2 linked regions of the Xenopus tropicalis genome follow. The protein of the gene in region 1 purifies or fractionates together with the protein of each later gene. This does not show direct contact. Links are inferred from orthologs where the notes say so. Each region holds a gene or a part of one and is shown in the gene's direction. Other genes may lie near its edges.

What was found. The genes of interacting proteins can lie anywhere in the genome.
Region 2: the proteins of rheb (region 1) and rptor purify together in Homo sapiens (affinity purification with western blotting, with the first as the bait; 3 studies listed by BioGRID). This does not show direct contact. The link is inferred for Xenopus tropicalis from reciprocal best matches to the Homo sapiens genes RHEB and RPTOR.

What each region holds. Positions count from the first base shown.
Region 1 is NC_030682.2:14,449,348-14,453,106, reverse strand, and holds the start of rheb (GTP-binding protein Rheb), read left to right. Parts: upstream 1-1,547; 5' UTR 1,548-1,804; coding exon 1,805-1,856; intron 1,857-3,759. UniProt on the Homo sapiens protein: Small GTPase that acts as an allosteric activator of the canonical mTORC1 complex, an evolutionarily conserved central nutrient sensor that stimulates anabolic reactions and macromolecule biosynthesis to promote cellular biomass generation and growth.
Region 2 is NC_030686.2:26,937,931-26,941,589, reverse strand, and holds part of rptor (regulatory-associated protein of mTOR), read left to right. Parts: intron 1-2,289; coding exon 2,290-2,390; intron 2,391-3,017; coding exon 3,018-3,162; intron 3,163-3,659. UniProt on the Homo sapiens protein: Component of the mechanistic target of rapamycin complex 1 (mTORC1), an evolutionarily conserved central nutrient sensor that stimulates anabolic reactions and macromolecule biosynthesis to promote cellular biomass generation and growth.

The sequences.
Region 1 (3,759 bases):
AGGAGCCAGAGAGCCCGTCACAATGCAAGGCATGCAGTGAAATCTGTTCCCAGGCCTCCCGCTATATGCATAGCACTGCTGTAAAACAAAAAATAAAGGGCATTAACTCTGGGAATAGAAACTGGCGGCTAGAATGAGGCATAAAGGGTCATTGAGAAAGATAAAAAATGTTCTGTCTGGTACAAGGGGAGAGGGTAAAACAGAACATGGGGGGGCATTTCACTAATGGTACCTTTAACATTACTTAGAAACCTCTGGAATTTCTCTGGAATAAAAAGTGTTTATAAATGAGCCTCAGCTTAATGTGTCCCAAATATCCCTAGTGCTGCTCCCATTACTCCCCAACAGGATGTCCCTGTGCCCTTCTGGCCACACCTCGCTATACACAACAAAGCCCCTTGTCCTGCAGTCCCAGTATGTCAGTCTCCTGTAAGGTCTGTGAGAGCTGCCACGTTTTATTGTGTCGTTCCATGTCCTTTACTCCCCACTGCCAGCCAAAATGTCTCCAGTGCCGCTCACATACAAGCACATCCCCAAGCCTGCCCAAAGGGAAGTAGGGATACTTATTATGGGGACAAATGTACCTGGACCACTGCTACTATAGGCACCATCTCTCCCTACTATACCTGCTATCCCACAGCCCCAGTCCCTTCCCAGAGACTATTATCCCACTGCTACTATAGGCACCATCTCTCCCTACTATACCTGCTATCCCACAGCCCCAGTCCCTTCCCAGAGGCTATTATCCCTCTACTGCTACTATAGGCACCATCTCTCCCTACTATACCTGCTATCCCACAGCCCCAGTCCCTTCCCAGAGGCTATTATCCCCCCACTGCTACTATAGGCACCATCTCTCCCTACTATACCTGCTATCCCACAGCCCCAGTCCCTTCCCAGAGGCTATTATCCCCCCACTGCTACTATAGGCACCATCTCTCCCTACTATACCTGCTATCCCACAGCCCCAGTCCCTTCCCAGAGGCTATTATCCCCCCCACTGCTACTATAGGCACCATCTCTCCCTACTATACCTGCTATCCCACAGCCCCAGTCCCTTCCCAGAGGCTATTATCCCCCCACTGCTACTATAGGCACCATCTCTCCCTACTATACCTGCTATCCCACAGCCCCAGTCCCTTCCCAGAGGCTATTATCCCCACTGCTACTATAGGCACCATCTCTCCCTACTATACCTGCTATCCCACAGCCCCAGTCCCTTCTCAGCTCTCCCTCCTATACTACATACATACATACTCCTTTACCCTAAATTCCATCTCCCCTCTCTAATCCAAAGCTATACTTACAAAGGTTCCATAAAACTATCCCTATTACAGATTCTCATTTTCCCGCCCTTAGCTGACAGAGAGGCAGCTGCTTTATCCAATGAAATATCGTATACAGTTAAGTGGAGCGACGCTAACGTATCGGACGCGCTTATTGGATACAAACAAAGGATACGCCAACGTCACAAGACATAGCGCCCAATCGCAGCGCTTGTGTATGACACGTAGTTCTGCCCCCTGTGGCGGGAGGCGGGGAATGACGCAGCGAGAATAGTGAGAGGGAGGAGAGAGTTATAGAGCGGCGCGGAAGAATTGTTTTACACAGAGCTGCTGTACCGAGGCGGGGTGATCGGGCCACCGTGTGACGGAACTATAGCCGGGGCGGGAATAGACGCGATAGTAGCAGCCACACTCCCACACTAGAGTTGGAGGGAATCTGTGCGTCGTTGCGTGCTCGGCCCCGTCGGTGGATGCGGCGCTCTCGTCCCTGAAGGGAAGGAACGGTGGAGGCAGCAAAGATGCCGCAACCCAAATCACGTAAAATCGCCATCCTGGGGTACCGCTCCGTGGGTGAGTGTGACGGGCAGTGGGCGGGCTTCACCCTAGGGAGGGCGGGGCTTGGGCTAATGGCACATTTAGGGCGGGGAAGCCAGAGTGCACTTGTTCATGTCTGTCCGGCCGGGGCTCAGGGATGTGCCATTGCGGGCTTCATTGGAGCCACAACATCCCCGGGCTCGCCATTGCCCCTTCCGTGGGGTGGAGAATCCTGGGGCAACTAGTCATGGCAGGGAAGCCTCCCGTCACGGGCAGCCAATGGTTAATGAGCTTCCCTCCCTTGTTAGGGGCACCTTCTCTAAATGCAGCATACATAGGGTTAAAGCTTCCACCTTGAACTACAATTCCCGGCATCCCCCCCTGACCTGCTGCTGCTTTAGTTTAATGATAGGCAGCATCTCTAGTCCTGTAGTGTAAATATACTGCTGCCTCCCCAGCCTGTACGCCCCCTGCTGGCCTGCTTAAAGCTTCCACCTTGAACTACAATTCCCGGCATCCCCCCCTGACCTGCTGCTGCTTTAGCTTAATGATAGGCAGCATCTCTAGTCCTGTAGTGTAAATATACTGCTGCCTGTACGCCCCCTGCTGGCCTGCCCGCACAGGCTTCTGGGATTTGTAGTTCCTTAGCCCCAGGAGAGGCAAAATGAGGTCGTCTTAACCTTTTTTTTTTCCTAGAGAACCCAGTCTTGTGACCCACCATTTGGCTGAGAGTTGACTGTAATTACTAATGTAGGCGGATAGGGCACTTTAATAAGGAGGCTAAACAGCATTGCGCGTCCAGATGTGCGGAATCCTGCGCGTTATAGGGATGCGTGTGTTCTGCCATAATGGAAAGTAATACACTTGGCTGTGTGCACACTTTCCCCCGCCCCGGGGCAGCCATTACAGGGGGTGGAAATGAAAGGCCAGGAGCCATTGAAACACAATGGGTGATATTGTTTAACCAATACTCTCTGTATTACAGCAGTTCCTGAAGTGGGGGGGGGCTGCTCCCTACTGGGGAATGTGGGGCAGGGGGTTAAGACTGGGGGAGAATGGCCATTTGTATCGCTGGATACACCTAGGGGAGTAGCAAGACTTGGGCTGAATATGTCTTTGCTGCCCTAGATATCCTTGTTAGGGATACGCCGATATCTTCCTTTATCCACTAATAAAGGACACACACTGCTGTATTAGGCAGTAGAAAATGGAGATTAGAGAGGGCAGGTAGTTATTGGTTATCAAGATATTGTCCATCTGCCGTTACTCAGGCTCCTATGTGTGCCTCCGTTGCACTTATATACAGTGTCCGTTTATATTGTACATGTGAGCAGCTTCAGTCGGTGCAGAGGAGCATTGGGAAGAGCCAGTAATAATGGCAGCGGGGCTCTATAGAATAAATGTGGGCCGGTATATTTGTAAAGAGGAGTTCCAGCCCTGGGTCTCTGCTCAGAGAGGGGATGTGCTGATGTTACACATTGACACCCCCTAAGGCAGGGATCCCCAACCTTTATTACCCATGAGCCATATTCAAATGTAAAAAGACTTGGGGAGCAATACGATCGTAATACATGTTCCTGGGGGTCCAAATAAGGGCTGTAATTGGTTATTTGGTAGCCCCTATATGGACTGGAAGCCTACGGGATATTCTGTTTGCCAGTACATCTGGGTTTTATTCAACCAAAACTTGCCCCCAAGTCAGGAATTCAAAAATAAGCAGCTGTTTTAAGGCCACTGGGAGCAACACCCAATGGGTTGGGGAGCAACATGTTCCCCTGAGCCACTGGTTGGGGATCACTGATCTAAGTAGACTTACACCTGCACAGACCCATTAGTTCTGTGGGAGTCACACACTTTGCTGTTTGGCTGTACCTGGCAACGGAGCTTCACCTAATCTAGTGGATCCATATAACGTATAGTTCTGCTGCTTCTGTTGGTT
Region 2 (3,659 bases), on another chromosome or scaffold:
AAGCCTGGCTAAAACTGAACGTATCTCTTAGTACCTGGGGGTCTATTCTATCTGGCATTGCTGCCTTGTTCATATTCATTTTGAGTAAACCTTTATGTACCATATTTTTCATCAATGACTGATTAGATTGAGCCATCAGTGCACCTATAAGGTGGTTGTTGAAACTTTGATTACTCTATTGAGTACTCTGAAGAAAAGAACTGGTTAAGCACACTTGCCATTTCTGTATCCTTAATAAGCACATTATTTAATGGAGCTACACTCTCAAACTGCATCTTTTCACAAAATATACTTAAAAAACTTAGTCTCTGCCACAGTCTATTCTTTATTACCCAGAGTACACAGAGGAAATCCATGAAAGAAGGGGGAGCACATAAAACTCCTTTCAGTTTATCACTACAAGGAATTAAACCTTGGATTTTAGTTCAGCAAGCACCATGCTTTGTAATAGATAATATTCGACCAGTCAAGACCAGAGTACACATTTCTAGTAACATTTCTGCAAAAGTCATAAAAACATTTAAATATTTATTTGTATTCCAGATATAGTTAGCATTTTTATAATCTATACTTAATACAATGGATCAAAATCTCAAATTATAATCAAAGCTAAGAATGTAACGGACATAAAGCTGTTCTTGTGGGGATTGAAAATGAAGCAATAACGTTTTTCATTTATATTTACATAAAATATCACTTATATTAAACTAAATTTGAAATTTAATTTTTTGATAGAAAAATGTGACATGGAATAACATACAAGGAAGGCTTTCTTATACAGTAAAGCTAATTGGTCAAAGATCTGAATACTTTAAATAGTATAAGTAACATATATGTGTATTGTTAATATTCTGTTTACTTACAATTTCTATGTATTGAAGCCACCTCCCTTGACTTTTCGCACAGCATATACCTATAAGGGTGCTTTGTCTATTTTCACCTCATTTACCCAAATTTGCAGCCAAGGTGTATTAAGGTGTAATTATTACAGACTGGCTTATTCTATTTGTAAGAGCAATGTAAAGAAAAAGTAAGAAGCCTATAAACTTAGCTTTACATACAATATACTGATATGCCTGCTCATATCTAATGTGATTTTTAACTGAAAATACTCCTTATAATATGTAGTATTTTCACTGGTTGTGTGCCAAAACTACCAATGATTTCAGCCCATTCTTTGTCCCTTTCTTTATGTGACCAGATTCATACAGCGAAGGGTCTGCTGTTCACAAGTATAACAGGCTTACTAGCAACACAATTTGTTTTCCCATTAGACAGGTGGATTTGACAAGGAAATTACCCATAGCCACCTTTAACCTCTTCATGCTGAAGAATAGCTCAGAGACGGTTTTCCCTCTGGACTGGAGAAAGTGTGCACACATCAGCTGTTCAGCTAGGGCATGAAGCAAAGCAGTCAGGCTTGTAATGTCCTTACATCGTCCTCACAATCTTGCCGTTAATTAAATATGTTTAAACCTGAGCTCCTTTGTAGCAAATAAATATCGTGATCACATTGATTAGATGAAATGACCCATACACATTCTAATACTCAAGAGGCAGGCTCAGTGCTGAAGTTTAGTTAAGTCAGGAGTCTGGTACAATAAAAGCGCAATTTTCATAAAGCCTCAGATGCTGCCTGCTGATCTCCACAATACAATCTGAAGGCTGTTTGTGAGAAGGATTGCAGTTATCAGAATTCTAATGGGGCTAAATGGTCAATTTATGTATAAGCCATGTCTGGTTAGTCAGTATGTCAGTATATGGCTGGAAGAATGGCATAACAGGGAAGTATAACCTGCCTGAGGAAGATGTAATATTCATTTTATCGTATCAGGCCAGTTGGAAAAGGGCATTATCAGTGAGTTGCTGTAAGACATTGAGTTAAAGGAGCCATTCTTATATTGAAAACCAGGTTTATATTTGGGCATTTATTTTGCCTTATTTGAAATTTACAACATGTGCCATTTCAGATTATGTATGAGAGGGATGTTAAGCTCAGTTTGTTGGTTAGCTATCAAAATTAAAAAAAAAAAGCTAAAAAATAGAAAACCAGGGTAAAATATGTAACCATTCACAACATTCTGAAAAAATATCAGTGATAGTAAACATATAAGAGACAGCTAAGAATTGTGGGAAAAATTAAATAAAAGATTCTTTTTTTTTGTGGGGGGGGGTGGCTTGGTTAACCATGGTTCATTGAGATTTTGTTTTGAATGTCCCTAGTAATTCATTGTGCATTTTTTTAGCAGTTTGATTTAGTAATTAATATCATACTGTTCTCTTTCCTAGAATTCCTGGGCGATTAAATGATAGGAGGACACCACTGGGAGAGCTGAACTGGATCTTTACAGCAATCACAGATACTATAGCATGGAACGTTCTGCCTAGAGGTACAGTCATATCATACTGCTACACTATAGCTTAAATATATGTTACTATTATAGTGGGAGTAAAGAGATTTTATAACAAAATAGAGTTTTCCTGATATTGGTTACTAATTTGAACTATTTCCCACTCAGTGGATAATTAAGACCGTATATAAATAATGGGTGGATGATTGTGCATACATGCATATACTCATGGTAGGGAGAAGTTAGTTCTTTAAGTGTCAGTGGCGCAGACTGACTTATTCTAAAGTAAAGTATTATTTAGTGCTTCCATATTGCCTGAGTCCCTGACCCAGTAAAGCTTACAATTTAAGTTCTTCAGCAAATTCACACACACTAGGGTTAATGAGGAGCCTTTATGTGTGAGTTTCCAGAGAAAATCCATTCAAACAGTGGGAGAACATACAAACTCCTTCAAGTGGCAGGAATTAAAGCTAGGATTTCAGCAAGGTAGCAATGCTAACAGCAGTGCCAATTTGCTTTGTAAGAGAAATATACTGTTCAACCACTTAAAACCAGAGCACACATATCTAGTACTTTAGGTTCTGCAAAATATATATTTGTGTTCTAGATATAGTTTGTATTTTATTAATATATATATTTCAGCATTTATCATCTTTATAATTTCAGACCTATTTCAGAAGCTCTTTAGACAGGACCTATTAGTTGCCAGTCTCTTCCGGAACTTTCTTCTGGCCGAGAGGATCATGAGATCATACAATTGCAGCCCAGTGAGCAGCCCTCGTTTGCCACCCACCTACATGCATGCTATGTGGTAAGATGCTCTGTATACTTTTTCTGGAACAGCGTGTATTTATTGTCTTTATTTCATGCCATATGGTGCCTGACAGTAAAGCTATTTTTCATCTGGGTAAAAAATGCCTGGAACTGTCCCATAGCCTTTAGGAATACTGCCATGGGAAAACATGTTTGTTTCAAAACGCATCAGTTAATAAAGCTTCTCCGGCAGAATCCTGCATTGTAATCTGATTTTTAAAAGGGCAAACTGATGGGTTTTTTTTATATTTAGTTTTAAAATTTTACATGTAGATAGCCATGCCATATTCTTCATTTCCCAGGGTGGCACAGCCATGTGACTTGTGCTCTAATAAACTTCAACCACACTTTACTGCTGCACTGCAAGTTGGAGTGATATATCCCCCCTCCCTTTCCTTCCCCCAGTAGCCAATAAGCCTGAACAGATAGCAGCTCCCTGACACCTCTGCTAAAGCATTTAGCAACCTGAACTGATAGTGCCTCCATAGGCTAAAA